2 linked regions of the Struthio camelus genome follow. The protein of the gene in region 1 interacts with the protein of each later gene in a pairwise test. Links are inferred from orthologs where the notes say so. Each region holds a gene or a part of one and is shown on either strand. Other genes may lie near its edges.

Region 1 (7,755 bases):
AGCATACAAATCACTGGAGAGCAGCACCTGGCTTCTAGAAAGAGTAATGTTTATACAGAAACAGAAAAGAAAAAAAAAAAAAAATCATTTACACAAGAACCATTTAGCTGACTAGCAGCATCTGACTTTCCACTAAAACCATCCGAACACTCAAGCGCTTTCCCCTTCTGCCAAACCCAGCGCTGAGGTCACCAGTTGCTGATGGGTAGTTGCGATGGCAAGAAATGGGAAGTAAAGAATTCAGCAGGATGAATTCCCTGCCAGGACTGCTGTACTGCAGAGGCCAGAGTTCAAAGAAACTCCTCTAAGCAATTGCACGATACAAGGATGGCAAGGCATGACACAAAGCCAAGCTACTCATGTGTCACACTGATCACTGTCTGCTCTGTTAAGAGAGACTCTATTTTCATGCTGAAAATACGTCCCTAGGAGCAAAAATGAGCAGCAATTGACAGAATACAGCAGCAGCATCTATGTCCTGCTTCACATCTTCAATCGCAGGCTACAAACGCAAGGCCTTAGTGCACCGCGTGAAAATTAATGTTGCTGTTTTCCATTCCTCCGTAATGTCATTTCTCGAGCAGACTATTATGAAAGGAGCGCACAGCTCTGGAAAACACCCGAGCAGATGGGAGAGTAAGCAGCACTCACCGAATAGGCAGTGAGGCTCGGTACAGCTACAGCTGCCATAGTAATAAACAAGCATTTTTTCTACTCCCTGAGGCTACCTAGAGTATTAGGCAGCACTAAGGCTGCTAATGTGAATGCAATTAGGCTGACATGGATATTCCTGAATTAAAGCTGACTGAGACCTTCATTAAGGGAAGTGACAGAGGAGTTAACAAGTTCAGCTTTTTGACTGCATACTAATGAAGATTTTATTAAAGCCAGCAGAGCAGAGACAATCCAGCACTACAAAAATCTAAGCAGGACTAAAATCTAAGCAGATAACAGTACCAAGGCATCTTGTGAAAGCAAGAGAGCTCACCGCCTCTCAGCAATAACTGCCATTAATTGACGAATCTTTTTAAAGGATCAAAAAAATAAAACCAATTATCTAGAATACCAGCCCTAAAGTAATCCACTAGCACAAATCCACCTGCAAAGAGAACACCTTCTCCTTAGGGCAGACACCACAGATCACTGCACAGACCTGCCTGTTGGGCTGGTTTGAGGCAAGGCTCTGAAGACAGACATGCCTGACACTGTGCCATTACCAAGGCACAAAGAAAAAACGTTTGCGGGAAAACACATGCCCAGCAGCTTAAAACGCTCCCTTTAGTTGTGGGTAAAATCCAAATCAACTGTTTAAAGAGACAGCTGAAGTGAAACTGGCATTTTCTCAGCAGAAAATGAGAAAGCATGCAAAGACCTCAGACCCAGCCAGAACCCTGCATTCACAGGGAGATATGACTGACGGAAAGATTAATTTCCCAGAAAACAACAAGGAACCATATCACAGGAGAGCGACAGGGAGAGGGACCGCACCTAAAAAGGACTGAGCTGCCTATTCTTAGCCCGTGGTTCAGTGACACGTGGCTATCCGTATTATCTCAACGCGGAGGAATTCCTAATGGACTCAGAGTCGAGCTGCAGGGACGCTGCTCAATTGAAAGGCTACACAATGACCTCTACCTGTACCCGAAGCGGCATATAATCCTCACAGAGATCGTCCCACAGCTCTTGCAGGTCAGAGATCTCCAAGGAAAGACCCAAATGGGCTCTGGAAAGAGATTTCCTGTCTGCATTCAGGAAACCAGAACCAGCATACACTAAGCCAGCAGGAGCACTTCCATCTGCCAAGTCACGGCTGGGTTTGGGAGGTGGCAAGCTGGATTTCACAGGAATAGGTAGTCTGCTGCCTCTGGGACTATGAATGGGTTTGTAGTCTAAAGCCTTGATCAAGCTGAGGGCCAACTCCAGCCTATTCCCACTCAGCGAAGAGTTCGGGGTCATGCGGTCCTCTGCAAAATCGTCACATTTCCCGCTCCCTTTCACCCCCTTATCTGCATCTTCGTCTTTCTGCTGCGGAGGGCTAGCCTCCACAGTTGTGTCCAGCGACTCAATGGAGGACGCAGGCGTGCCTTCCTCCATGCTCTCCCCATCCACTGGCCCTCTGGCACCAGATGACTCTGCAGTGTCACACACAGATGATTCTTCATTGCCCATGCTTGCTGACCACCGGCTGGACGGCCCGCAGGAGATACTTCTGGCCACCTTCCGCGGCACTTTGCAAATCGCTTCATAGTCAGCATCGGCCACTCGCAGCGTGGCACAGCCACGGCAGCGCCGCGGGCGGTTACTCGCTCCCTCTGAAGCGTGGCAGCTGTGTGGTTCCAGGCTGTGCTCTTCATGATCCGTCCAGCATTCGTACCCAGAATAAGCAAAGTCCTCCTGAAGGAGGGCAGCATACCGAACATCGGGCAGGTTAGAAAGGTCCACGGTCCCATCCCCAGTTCTGTCATCTGGGCCAGAGTCATCATTGTTCCTCCGGTACATGCTTGCAATGCAGAACTTGAGGCGGTCCTTCTCCAGCAGCAGCTTCTGCAGGCGCTCGATGGAGAGGGCTTCGATGCGGGCGATGACCGTGTCGAACCTGTAGATGCGGTCCAGCATGAAGGCACACTTGCTGCAAGCGAACTCGGCTTTGCCATCCCGGCACAGCTCCCTGCCCAGGACGTGGGAGAGCAGCACCTGCAGGTTGAGCTTGGCCGTGGTGTGGAAGATCCATCGCCGCTGGTTGCCGCACAGCTCCCGGGCGCAAATCCGGCAGGTTTCCTTCATCTTCCCTCCTGACCAGCACCCCCAACTACTCCTGGGGGTTCTCAGGAGACCTTCCCCAGGCCTCCACCGCTCCCTCAGCGCATCGCCCAGGCCACGAGCCCCTAACACACCTCACCCCAGCTCCCCCCGCCTGGGGTCACACCCTGGGACTCCCAGGGACTCCTCGCACTGCAGGAACTTGCCCTTCTACAACACCCCCAGCCCAGCCCAGCCCCTCTCCGGGGATGCCCCCTCTCCTTCCTCACGGCCCCCCTCAGCCCAGGGCTCCCCCTGCTCCTCACGGGCCCCCTCGCCTCGGCCAGGCCCCTCACCCCGGATTTTGCCCCGCTCCTCGCGGGCCCCCCTTACCGCGACCTGCCCCCTCGCCCCGGGGCTCCCCCCCCGTCTCCTCGCAGCCCCCCTCGTCCCGGCCCTACGGCCCCCGCCACTCCCGCTCCCGCCTCCGCCTCGCCGACGATGCTCCTGCCACGGCGGCGGCGCCCGGCTTGTGGCTCAGATTTCAAGATGGCGGCGGGCGGCAGCTCCGCGCGTGCGCGGCGGCCGCGGCGCCTGCCGGGATTTGTAGTCGCCCCGGCCAGGCGGGCCCGCATGCGCAGTAGCCTTCCTCCCCCCCGCCCCCCCGCCCCAGCACCCGTCGGGTGGGCCCAGCGCCGGGGTTGCCCCACGTCGCGGCCCCACGGCCGGCGCCAGCCCCGAGGCCGGGGCCCTGCCCCGCACCCCCGGCCGGGTCGTGCCGTCCCGGAGCTCCCGCGGCCGGCGGGGATGGCCGTGACCCCTGGGGGCCCTGGCTCCCCCCCCCGCCCCGGGCGCGCTGCTGCCGTCGGGTGTGTTCACACCCGGGTTTTACCCTGCGGGCGGGCTGCCCTGCCCCGGGCGCGCTCGAGGGCCGGGCTGCTGCCGCCTCGTGGCCGCGGGGAGGCCGGGGCAGGCGGCGAAGCAGCCCCCGAAGGGGACGGGGGCAGTAAGGGGGAGCCCGCCGCCCTGCCGGCCCACCCACCTGCGCCTGGGCGGCCGCCGGCCCCTCCGGCCGCCGCCGCGGGTCGCGCCGCTCGGCCGACAGCAGCTCCACGAGCTGGTTGCTGGCCGCCAGCTCCCGGCTCAGCTCCTCGATCCTCCTGCGAGGGAAGGCAACGGCGGGGCAGGCTCAGGCGCGAGGCCGGCCCCGCGCAGCGCCGGGGTGCCGGGGGGCACGGGCTGGCCACGCAGGGTGGGGGGGCCTGGGCCACCTACCTGTCCTTGTGGGCCAGAGCGCTGCTGTCAGCCGCTTGCCCGCTTTCCTCCTTCCTCCTCGCCGCCTCCTTCAGCTTCGCGGCCAGCTCCTGGCACCGCTCCGTCTCGGCTTTGGCCAGCGCCGTGGCCTTCTCCGCCTCGCTCCTGGCCAGCCTAGCTTCCTGCAGGGTAGCGGGAAGTGAGGCCGGAGGGACCGCGGCTCCCCTGCCCCGCCGCTGGGACGTCCCCGGTCCCCTCCCAGCCCTCGTCGTCCTCCGACGAGGGGGTGCCGGCGGCCAGCCGCGCGCCCGGCCGTCCGGCGCTCACCTCCTGCAGGAGCTGGATCTTGTTCTCCAGGAGCTCGTAGACGTGCTCCGACTCCCGCTGCCTCTCCTCGTACTGCTGCCGGAGCGCTGCCTCGCTGCGGTTCGTCTGGTTCTCCGCGGCCACCCTGCAAGGCACGGCATGGCACGGCATGGCCCCCGCTGTGCCAGGGGCTCCCCAGCCCCGCACCGTCCCTTCTCTGGGAGAGGGACGGGAGACCTCGGGAAGGGACCTGCACCGCGGGGACCGGTCAAGCGGGACCCAGCATGGGGTTCATGCAAAGCCCTGGGCCCTGCATGCCCGTCCCCACCAGCCAGGGCTCTGCTCTTCCCGCGGGGCACACCAGGCTTGCAAAAGCCCCAACCCCAAACCGCCTGGGATGGGAGAGCCGAGCCGCCCCAGCTGCTCCAGCATCTCCAGCCTGCCCACCCCTACCCCAGCCCGCCAGTGGGCACCGGCTGCTTTTCTTGCAAGAGCACCCAGGCATGGTGTATTTTAAACCCGGAAAGCTACAGTCCTGGGACACTGACTCATCTGGCGTCGTTAGGTCCCGCTTGGAGCTTAGGCAGCACGTGGCATGTTTTGCAACACCAAAGCTGTCTCTGCACCTCTCCAAAAGGAGGGAAATGCCCCCAGCCGCCCGGTGCCCAGCAGAGCCCTGCTGTGCGGACAGCGAGGTACCTGCGCCGCGGCCCCCGGAGCGCAGCGCTCGCCCTCCCTCAGCAAACAGGTGCTGCCCTTTATTTTTGGCTCGCCAACAGCCGTGCCGGGTTACGCTGCAGCGGGCATGTAAGAGGAGCCCCGCGGGCCGCCCTGCCCTCCCAGCAGGACACATGGCCCCTTTGCCAATCCCCACCGCTGCCCGCAGCCCTGGCTCGCTCTGGGGACTGACCGCCCAGCGCCACGACACCTGGTGTCCCTAGTGCCCATCTGCAAGCGCCACCGGCGCTGCGGACCCCGCACGTCCCCGCGCGAGCCTCGGCCAGCCCCACCTACCATGTCTTATCCAGGGCCTGCTGCTTCTCCTGGAGCTCCCGTTTCAGGCTCTCCACCTCCACCTTCAGCTCGATGTTCTGCAGGGGAGGCCGGGGGCGGTGAGCATGGCACCGGGGTGCTCTGCAGGGCAGCCCCACGCCGCGCCGGGGACCCAGGAGCCGCTGCCCTGGCCCGCAGCGCCGCGGGGAGGGTGGGAGCCGCCGCGGCTGCTCCGGCTTTTCGGGCTGTTGCTCCAGCTGGCTCTGGCTGCTGGCGCCGCGCCGCCGAGCCCGGCGGCGCGGGTGCTATTTTAGCCTGCCCCGCGCAGCTTTGGCAGGCGCCGGGACGGGATGTACCCGCTCCAGCTGTCTGCCCGTACCCGGCGCCCAGCCCCGGCGCCCGCCTGCCCCGCGCCCCTCCGCAGCCCTGCGGCTACGGAGAGGGCAACTGTGCCCTCGGCCACACGCCCCCCCCCCGCCACTGCCGGACGGCTCTCCTAGCACCTGGGGTTATTTATCAGCTCGGCTCCCTGCTGCCCGCGGCACAGGCCGGCAGCCCCATTTCGGCGCCGCCGCGCTTCTCCTCCCCGAGCCAGGGAGCGTTCGAGAAGCCCAGGCGGCCAGAGGGCCCGGGAGGCCCGTGCTCGGCGCCGGCACGGGGCAACCGGCCCAGCCCCAACGTCAGTGCCTTCCCCACGGGAGCTACAGCAGGAGCCGACAGGGCGTTTCGCTGCCGGCGGGTCCGCGTCTGGCTTTCCCATCGCTCTTCCCTCTCCGGTCAAAGAAAGCAAGGGGGCTGTGGAAGTCCCACGAGACGGCTCACAGCACCCCAAAGCAGGACGTGAGACGCCCACCGCCGGCATGCTCGCTCCCCGCTTCCCGTCCACACCCCGGCTCTGCCGCTGCACCCCGACGCCCTCCCCGGCGCCCCGACCCGCTCCGGCACCCCGTGCCCCTCCCGGCACAGGGACAACCCGCCGTGCCCGCCGGCCCGCTCACCCGCCGGTACACCTCGTCCCGGCTGCCCTCGCCCTTCTGCTGCACGCGCTCCTCCAGGAAATAGATGCGCAGCTTGAGGCTGAAATTCTCCTTTTTCAGGTCGTTGAGGTGCTGCGAGAGCGTGCGGTAGCCGTTAGCCATGGCGGGCGCTCCATGGGGGGGGGCATCCCCGCCCGCCCCCCTCGCCCGGCGCCCCCGGCCCGGCCCGGCGGGACGAGGCTCTGGGGACGCGGCCGCCCGGCGCCCGCCCTGCCTGCTCCCAGCTCCCAGCTCCCGCCGGGTGGCCGCAGCCGCCCCGCCGCTTCCCTTTTTTTTTTTCCCCCCCTCTCTCTCCGGGAGCTATTTGAGGAATCCCTGGCGGAGAGGGGACAGGCGAGCGGTGAAACCCGAGCCCCCCGGGGCGGCCCCCCCCCCCCAACCCGGGCGCGCGGCAGCCGGCGGCGGGAGGGAGCGCGGCCGTCCCCTCCCCGGCCCCCCCGGGGGTCCCCGGCCACCCCGCGGCGAGGAAGGGAGCGGGAGGGGAGCCGCCCTCGCCTCCTGGGCGGCGGGGACGAGCCGGGCGGCACGCGGCTGACCTGCTCGAAGTCCCGCAGCGAAGTCTGCGTCTGCGCGGGGGGGCCCGTCGCCAGGTCGCGGAGGAGAGAGCTGTGCGCCGAGGGGCCGCGCGGCGGGCCGGGGCCGAGCGGGGGGCCAGCGGCCGGCGGCGGCTCGGCGGCCTCGTCGCGCTCGCCCGCGGCCCCCGGCGGGGCATCGCCCGGGGACGCTGGCGGGGAGCGAGGCGGGCGGCCGTCAGAGGAGCCGCTGCACGCGCCGCCCCCCCCCCGCCGCCCTGCTCCGGGGTGTGCGCCGGCGGGGACGCGGGCTTTTGGGGCGCCCGCCCCTCGCTCGCCCTCCGCGGGGCAGGGCGACGGCGGGCGCGGGGACGGGGGGGGAGGCTGGCGGGGCGCCCCTTACCCGCCATGCGGCTGGCTCCGGGCGGCGCGGCCGGCCGCTCGCCGCTGCAGGGGTCCCTGCGGAGAGAGAGAGGAGCGCAGGGCCCGCGGTCGGGCAGGGGGCGCGCGGCCGGGCACCCGTGGGTGCCACCGGGGCTGCGCGAGCCGGTGGTGGGCGCAGGGCCGCGCGTGCGTGCCTGCAGCCCCCGGAGGCGTGCGCTCTCAGCGCGGCGCCACGAGGCCCTCGGGGCCGCGCAGACGGCGGAGCCCCCCCCCTCGGAAGCACTTTAGCCCCATTAGCAGCCCTGACCCCCCCGCCCCCTGCAGCGGGGCCACCTGAGCTCCGGCAATGAAATCCCCCCCTGGGGCGGGGGGTCACGGCGGGGCACGGGGGGCTTTCCGCGCCCCAGCCCTGCGCCTAGACACCCGGCTCATTTTCCCTTCCCCGCTCCGTCTTCCACCAGCGCGTCCCGAGCAGGTTTCCAGCTTTGAGTCACGGAGGTGCAGAGACCGAGGACACTCATCACACTGTT
Region 2 (7,876 bases), on another chromosome or scaffold:
GGGCTCTATGGGCTTGCAGGGGCTGGTGCTATGCTTTCTGTGCTTCTGTGGGGCTGTGCCAGGCTTCATGGGCTCGTATGGGCCTGTGCAGGGCTCTACAGGCTCCTATAGGATCCTGCCAGGCTCTACAGGCTCGTATGAGCCTGTGCCAGGCCATACACGTTTGCACGGGAACACATGCATGCAAAAGCAGATGTGAAAATATACGTGTGCAAATACACACACATGCTAACACACCAGCACGTGCACACATACATATGCATCCAAATGGAAACATACACTCATGTGCAGGCATGTACACATATGCATGCACATGCATGCAAATGTGTACGGCATGCACGCACGCCTGCACAAACACCTGTAAAAATGCATGGATAGAAACACACATGGGCAGATACACATGCAGCATGTGAACATGCATGCAAATGCAGGCACGCACATGTGCAAGGACCCACACACACACCCATGCAGCGCGTTGGGACTAGGACTCACCTTGGCACTATATTGTGTTGGGTGCTGGGTGGGGACCAGGTGGCCTTTCCTGCGCTGGTGGCTGTGTGCATGTCTGTGTGTGTGTCCATGCATCTGTGTGTAACCACGTGTGTGCATGCATGTCTGTGTGTGCATGTGTCTGTGTATGAGTGCTTGCAGGTGTGTGTGCATAGGTACAGGTGTGCATGCATACTTGTGCCTGCCCAGGTGTGAGCATGTGTGTTTGTGCATGCCTATTTGTGTGCATGTGCGTGTGTTTGCACGTGCAGCTGTGCCTGTGCGTGCATATTTGTGCCTGCATAAATGTATGTGTATGCGCAGGTGTGGTTGCACAGGCATGTGTATGTGTAGGTACATGAGCATGTGTGCATGGTTGTGTGTATGTGCATGGCTGTGCCTGCACATGTGAATGCACGTGTATCTGTGTGTGGACATGTGTGTGTACTGGGGCTGTGTCCCATTGGGGACTAGGAGCTACTGGGAGAACTGGAACCACTGGGGGCTGGGATGCCTGCGGGATGGGCTGGCCCTGGGGACATTCCAGTGGTCCTTGGGGATGTGGCAGCCCTGGGGACATTCCAGGGGCCCTGGGTGATGCGTTGACCCTGGAGGTCCTTGGGGACAAGGGTGATTCTGTGGACATCCTGGAGAGGCTGAGGGACAGGGTGACACTGGGGCCTCCTTGGGGACAGGGTGTCTCTGAGGGAGAGGGTCCTTGGGGACATCCTGGGGGGGCTAGGGAGTCCAGAGATCCCTGTGGTGTGGCTGCAGGGCAACACCTGGTGGCACAGAGCAGTGGTGGGGACAGGACACCTGGGTCCCTCGGGGGTGTCATCCGGGGATGACCGTGTCCCTGGGGGAGAGACTGTGTCTCCAGGTCTGTGACCATGTCATTGGGGTGACCATGTCCCCAGGGGAATAACCACATCCCTGGCAAGGTGACCATGTCCCTGGGAGGTGACTATGTCCCCAAGGCTGCGACCATGCCACTGGGGGGTGATGGTGTCCCCAGAGGACTGATTGTGTCCCTGGGGGTGTGACTTCATCCCCAGGGCTGTGACCATGTCCCTGGCGGGGGGGGGGGGTGACTGTGTCCCCAGGGAGATGATTGTGTCCCCAAGGGAATGACCATGTCCCCAGGGGGGTGACTGTGTCCCCAGAGGAATGACTGTGTCCCCAAGGGAATGACCATGTCTCCAGGGGGTGACCACATCCCCAGGGCTATGACATGTCCCCAGGGGTGACATATCCCCAGGGGGTGGGGTGACCTTATCCCCAGGGGTGGCCACATCCCCAGAGGAGTGCTGATGTCCCCAGGGCTGTGACCATGTCCCCAGGAGGATAACTGTATCCTCAAGGGGGTGACCATGTCCCCGGGGGAGGTGGCAGAGCAGGCAGAGCCAGGTGACAGTGCTCCATTTTATTTACAGGCTCTTGGGAAGAGGGGAGGCAAAGGGGGTGACTGACCCCATCTCAATCCCCAGAAGGCCCCAACCCCGCCGAGATCCAGGTGCTGCTCCCCCCCCAAAAACCCCAAGAACAAAAATATACAAATAAATATAGTCAGAGGAAAAATGTCAGCTAGTAAATCTGGCCCTGCATGGTCTTGCCTCAGCACCTCCCAGTACCTCCCAGTGCCCCCAGCCCCCTGGCTGTGAACCAAGGCACCCAGGGCTGGGTGGTGGGGGAGGTGTCTATGAGCCGTCAGGGCGTCTCCAGGGTGCCCCATCACAGTGTGAAGATCTCATCCTCGGTGTCGCGCAGGGCAGCCACCCGGGGCGTCCTGGTGAGGGGCCGGGGGCCGAGCAGGGCATGCCGGGCACCCTGAGGTGCTGGGTGGGCCCTGGTGTCAGGTGCCTGGGTGCCTTCGGCCTCAGCGACGCTGCTGTGGGGGAAGACAGCAGGGTGGCAACACAGGGTGACTGTGGGCACCCACCGAAATCACCCATCCTTGGGCTGAACGCACCCTCCAAAACCCTTGGGTTTTGCCCCAAAAGTCGGGGCAAGGGATGGCACTCACCTTGTGTTGCTCTCGCAGAGCCGGCGGGTCGCTGCAGCCTTGGAGAGGCAGATCTCAGCGTCGATCTGCCGGAGGAAATCGGCAGCCGAGAGCTCATGGCGGGATGTGGCGGGGCTGACCAGGACGGCCCCTGGGCCCGCATCTCCTTCCTCCTCCTCCTCCTTTTCCTCCTCCTCGGGGCCGAGCCGCCTGGGGATGAGGAGTGTCGGCTTGAGGAAGATGGTGTCAGAGGTGTAGAGGCGGTTGGCACGCTTGATCTGCTCCATCTGTGGGGATCAGATGAGACGGGATGGGGATGGGGATAGGGATGGGCTGGGGATGGGCCAGGGCCAGGGATGGGACAGGATGAGATGGGGTCGGGACAGGGATGGGACAGGGATGGGGACAATATAGGATAAGGACAAGGATGGGGACAGGGATGGGACAGGGATAGTGATAAGGATGGAACAGGGATGGGGATGGGGACAAGGATGGGGATGGGATGGGACAGGCATGGGACAGGGATGACATGGGATCCGGACAGGAACAGGGATGGGGACAGGGATGGGGATGGAATTGGGACAGGCACAGGGAGAGGGAGAGGGATGGGGATAGTATTGGATGGGGACAGGGATGGGACAGAAATGGGACAGGATGAGGACAGACATGCGGATAGGATGGGACACGGATGAGATGGAATAGAAATGGGACAGGGATGAGGGATGGGATGGGATTGGACAGGGATGGGATGGGGACAAAGATGGGATGGGATGGGATGGGACAAGTATGGGGACAGGGACAGCGATAGGGACAGGATGGGGATGGGATGGGGACAGGGTGGACAGGGATGGGGACAGGGATAGGGTGGGGATGGGAATGGGGCCCCCACATCCCCTGGCCAGCCTCATCCTCTGACCCCAGCATCCTGTCCCTGGGCCCTGCGGATAGCCCCAGGACCCTGCCCCAGGCTCCCCCTGCCCCACAGCAGCCCCCAGATCCCATAGTCTGGATGTCCTGCCCCATGGCAGCCCCCAGTGCCCCAGCAGCCCCTGGTCCCCCCCTGCCCCAGCTGTCCAGTCCCCCCCAGCAGCCCCCTGCCCCATGGCAGCTCCTAGCCCCCCAGCAACCCTCCAGCAGCCCCCCTGCCCCGTGGCAGCCCCCAGCAATCCCCCAGCAGCCCCCCTGCCCCATGGCTGCCCCCTGCACCCCAGCAGCCTCCAGCCCCGCTCACCGTGACGCCATAGCGCAGCGCCAGGCCTGCCAGCGTGTCCCCGGGCTCCAGGCGATGCTCGCGGCCCAGCAGCCCCCCCGGCCCTGGCCCACCACCGTCCCCCACCACCTCCCGCCCCAGGGGTGCCGCCATGGCGGGACGGCCCCACTCACCCCTGGCCCCTGCCGACGCCCTGGCACATGCCGGGGGGGCTCATGTTAACACTCCACCCACCCAACCCACTCCCGGGGGCCACCCTGCACCCCGATACCCCTACACTGGGGCTCGGAGGGACGGGACCCCCACTTCCCGGAGGGCCCAGGCGTTCTGGCGTGCCGCCCGTGGGGGTGATGCTAAGGGCGGGGGGGGGCCTTTGGCCGCCTCTCCGGCCCCCCCTCAGTACTGCTACCAGCCTGCCAGGCCCGCCCCCCCCCCGCCTCCAGTAAACCCAGTCTGGCTGCGGACTGGGTAGGGAGATGCCAGGCCCGGCCGGCCCTCGCGAAGGTCTCTGGGAGACGTAGTCTCGGGGGCAGAGGGCAGCGGGGGTGTTCCCCCCCACGCCATGGCCTGCAGTCGGGCGTCCCCTCGCAGCCCTGGCCTCAGCCTGTGCCCCCCACATGGGACCATCCCTGCCGTGGGGCTGCCCCCCCAGGGGCTTTCTGCACCCCCCCGCCCCTCCTTATTCCCCTAGGGTCTCTGTCCCCCCCCAGGGTCCCGCCCCCCAAAGGGTCCTCTCTGCTCCCTCTGGGTGCTCCCTGCCCCGCCCAGGACTCCTCCCCAAGGGTCCTCCTTGCCCTCCAGGGCACCTACTCCCCGTCAGGGCCCTCATTCATTCCCCATGTCCCTCTGTGACCCCCAAGGTCCCTGCCCCCAGGGTCCTGCCTCCTCCAAGGGTTCCTGCCCCCCACCAGGGGCCCTTTCTGCCCCCATCAAGGGCCACCGCCGACCCCTGATCCCCCTAAATGTTCCTGTCCCCCAGGATCCTTTCTTGTCCCCCTTAGGCGCTGCCCCATGAACCCCCCCCACCTTCGCCCAATAGTCCTCCCTGTCCCGCCCCGGGTCTCATCCCCCCCGACCTCTCCCCCTAGCAGCCCAGCTTGGGGGTAGAGAACTACAGCTCCCAGCATGTCGTGCGCGCGGGGGTAGGGTCCTGCTGCCGCAAGGCACTGTGGGAGTACCAACCCCGCCCTCTCCCTTCCCTGTTGGTCGCCGCGCCGGCCCGTGGCCCGCCGGGAAAGGCGGCCTGGAAGTGGGGAGGGGACGGCGGTTCCTACGGTAACCGCGGGCTGCGCCAGCGGCCGCTATGTCCTTCAAGCGGGAGGGAGACGATCCCGGCCAGCTCGGTGTGCTGCAGGTAGGACCTCCAGTGCCCCCGGGACCCCCCAACAGCTCAAGCCTCCCACACCTAGGATCCCTGGTCCAGCACCCTCGAGGCCCCCAACAGTTCAGGATCCCGCCCGCCGTCCTCCCTGCCCCCCAATGACCCCCTAGACCCGCCCCCTGTCCTCCCTGCCCCCCAGATCCTCCCCAGGCCCCCCTCCCATTCTCCCTGTTCCCAGATACCCCTCTGCCCTACAAATAGTCCCAGACCTCTTCCCCCTTCTCCCTGTTCCCAAATATTCCCCACCTTAACTTTCTCCTCCTTCTTCCTGCCTTCAATTACCCCCTGCCCCCCCTTAATGCCCTCCACCCTAGACCTGCCCCCCAGTTATCCTCTGTCCTGACTTGACCCCTTCAACATCCCCCTACTCCCAGACTTCTCCCAGACCTGCCCCCAAATCCCTCCCAGCCCTCAAATCCCCCTGCACACAAATACTCTCCTGCCCCCAAACCAGCCCTTCAAATACCCCCTGCCCTGACCCCCCTCCTTATTCTTCCTTGCCAAATATGGCCCTATCCACACCCCCTTCCCTCAGAGCTCTCTCTGAAAATACCCCTTCTCCCCCAAATATTCCCTTCCCTCGCTCTGACTCCCAACCTGACCCCCCAAATACTCCCTTCCTTCACCTCAGCTTGTGCTGTTCTCCAATCTCCCCCTGAAAATCTCCCCTAGCTGCCCCCTCTCTCCCCCACCTCAACCCCCCCCCCCCGTTTCCCCCACCTGCACCCCCTTCCCAGCTGGCTCCTCATCATTGCTGCCCCCTTTAGGGGTCCCCCGGGTGCCCAGGTTTCCTGGCTGAAGGGTGGATGGGTCCGTGGTGTGGCTGGGCTATGGGTGAGGATTGATCCCCTGGTCTGTCCCACTTGGACTGGTGAGAGTGCAGGGTGAATCATAGGCAGAAACCGCCTCCGGCAGCAGCTAACGTGACCTTGTTTGTCCCTCTCAGAAACGACGCGTCGCGGACCTGCTCGCCAACTATATCCCTGAGGACGAGGCAGTGCTGCTGAGGAGTGGGAGGTGAATGGGATCCATGTGGGTGGGCAAACCCTGAGCTTCCGTGGGCCTGGGCAGCTGGAACGACTCAAACCTCTCTTGCCACCAGGGACTGCTCTGCCAGTCTCCGAGTGCGGAGATGGGCGAGCCTGACGGCGTCTCCTCCCCTACACAGGTATACCTGCACCGTGTGTGCCCACCGCCCCATCTTCGATACTCTGGATGTGCTGGCGGTCCACAGGGCTGGCAAGAAACACGTTGCCAGTAAGTGCACAGGCTTGGCAGGGGGAGGCCGCTGCTGCACCAGGCCGGCCCACGACCCTCTCACTCTCTTCTAGGCCTGCAGAGCTTCTACGGCAGGAAGCACTCACTTGAGAACGAGGTGCAAAAGCGACAGCACGAGAAATTCGTGCGGGCGGAGGAGGCAGGCACACAGGTGGGTGCAGATGCCCCTTCCCCTCCCCACTAGACCCTCGACCAGACTGGCTTGAGCTCTGCCCCTTCCCCCCAGGGCTCTCCAGCCCCTTTGCTGGTGCGAACAAGGAGGATAGCCCAGAGCGCTCTGCTGAAAGCTGCTCCCTACAGCAGCTGCTGCCGGAGGATGGGGTAAGATCTTGGGGGTTCCTGCCCTCTCAGGGGTGAATGAAGTGAGTGGGCATCACCTTTCCACCTTGTGCAGCTTTGTCATTACCGACTCGCACTCTGTGGAATGCCCCTTCCTTGGCTGCCATCCCCCAGCTGGTAACAGGCACTCGTGGGATGACATTTAGGCGGTGATGGCTGGAGCTGGGCGTCACGCCTCTCCCATCCTAGGGTGAATGGAAATGGCTCAAGAGCAGGTATGACCCAGACGGAGCTGAGCACCGCCCCTGTGCGAATCGCTGCCACGGCCTCTCCAGAGCCCAGAGTCCCCTCGCAGAAGATCAAGGAGGCTGTGGGCACCACCCCAGTGGCCCTGCTGCCAGGGTGCTGTAGCGGGCGAGCAGGTAAAAGTGGGCCAGTGGCTCTGGGTCAGCACTGGTGCCAATGAGAAAGCCCACCGGGTTTCGGCTTGTTTGCAGCCCTGGCCCTGCCTTGGTTTCTCTCTTTTCTGCGGGTCTCGCCAGCTCATGCTCCTCTCCATTCTCCCAGACGTACCAAAGGCAGCTACCACCCAGACCCAGCAAGGTGGCAAAGGAAAAGCCTCGCCATCGCCTGCAAGCCAGCCTGAAGCCCTCAACCCCAAGAGGCGCCAGGCCCTGGAGCGGTACCTGCAGCTCCGGAGGTGAGCCACTCCCTGCGTCAGTGGGGACCCCTGTAATGAGCCACATCTCACTCTCCATCTATCCGTCCCCAGTGCCGGCTGGATCCAGGACCACTCTGGCAAGTGGGTGAAGGACGAGAATGCCGAGTTTGACTCCGATGAGGATGAGCCGCCCGTGTTGCTGCCGGCCTGAGGCCTCTCTCTGTCCTGCCGGTCCTCGCAGGGATGGTGCCCCGGGGATGCACCCAGCCCTCCCCACTTTCCATGTTAATAGAGGCAGCTGGAGGTGAAGGAAGTGTCTGAGCTGTTGGGAATCTCTTTACGGGGAGGCCCCAGGATGTGCTGGTGTGAGTGGCGTGGGGAGGAGTCGGGTGGTGTTCAGGGATCCCATCATTCAGGCACCATGAGGTGCTCAGCACTGTATGTTTTTTGGGGTGTCCTCACTGTGTCCAGAGCGCTGAGAGCAGCAGGGGATACTGTCAACCTCGACTCTGGCTTCGGCTCCTCTCCACCCCATTCCATCCTGTCCCTGACCCAAGTCACGCTCTCTTTTTTGCC

The links.
Region 2: the proteins of PDE4DIP (region 1) and SCNM1 interact in binary tests that used the Homo sapiens proteins (3 or more experiments, as listed by UniProt). The two-hybrid records come from large-scale screens. The link is inferred for Struthio camelus from reciprocal best matches to the Homo sapiens genes PDE4DIP and SCNM1.

The regions. Positions count from the first base shown.
Region 1 is NC_090949.1:9,276,631-9,284,385, forward strand, and holds the start of PDE4DIP (myomegalin), read right to left. Parts: upstream 3,010-7,755; 5' UTR 2,785-3,009; coding exon 1,636-2,784; intron 1-1,635. UniProt on the Homo sapiens protein: Functions as an anchor sequestering components of the cAMP-dependent pathway to Golgi and/or centrosomes.
Region 2 is NC_090971.1:20,093-27,968, forward strand, and holds SCNM1 (sodium channel modifier 1), read left to right. Parts: upstream 1-4,875; 5' UTR 4,876-5,004; coding exon 5,005-5,055; intron 5,056-6,028; coding exon 6,029-6,099; exon of another isoform or gene 6,100-6,103; coding exon of another isoform or gene 6,104-6,114; intron 6,115-6,250; coding exon 6,251-6,339; intron 6,340-6,413; coding exon 6,414-6,511; intron 6,512-6,586; coding exon 6,587-6,681; intron 6,682-6,888; coding exon 6,889-7,061; intron 7,062-7,206; coding exon 7,207-7,339; intron 7,340-7,411; coding exon 7,412-7,511; 3' UTR 7,512-7,613; downstream 7,614-7,876. Other genes in the region: LYSMD1 (lysM and putative peptidoglycan-binding domain-containing protein 1), read right to left, coding at 2,221-2,377, 2,513-2,778, 3,723-3,854. UniProt on the Homo sapiens protein: As a component of the minor spliceosome, involved in the splicing of U12-type introns in pre-mRNAs. Plays a role in the regulation of primary cilia length and Hedgehog signaling.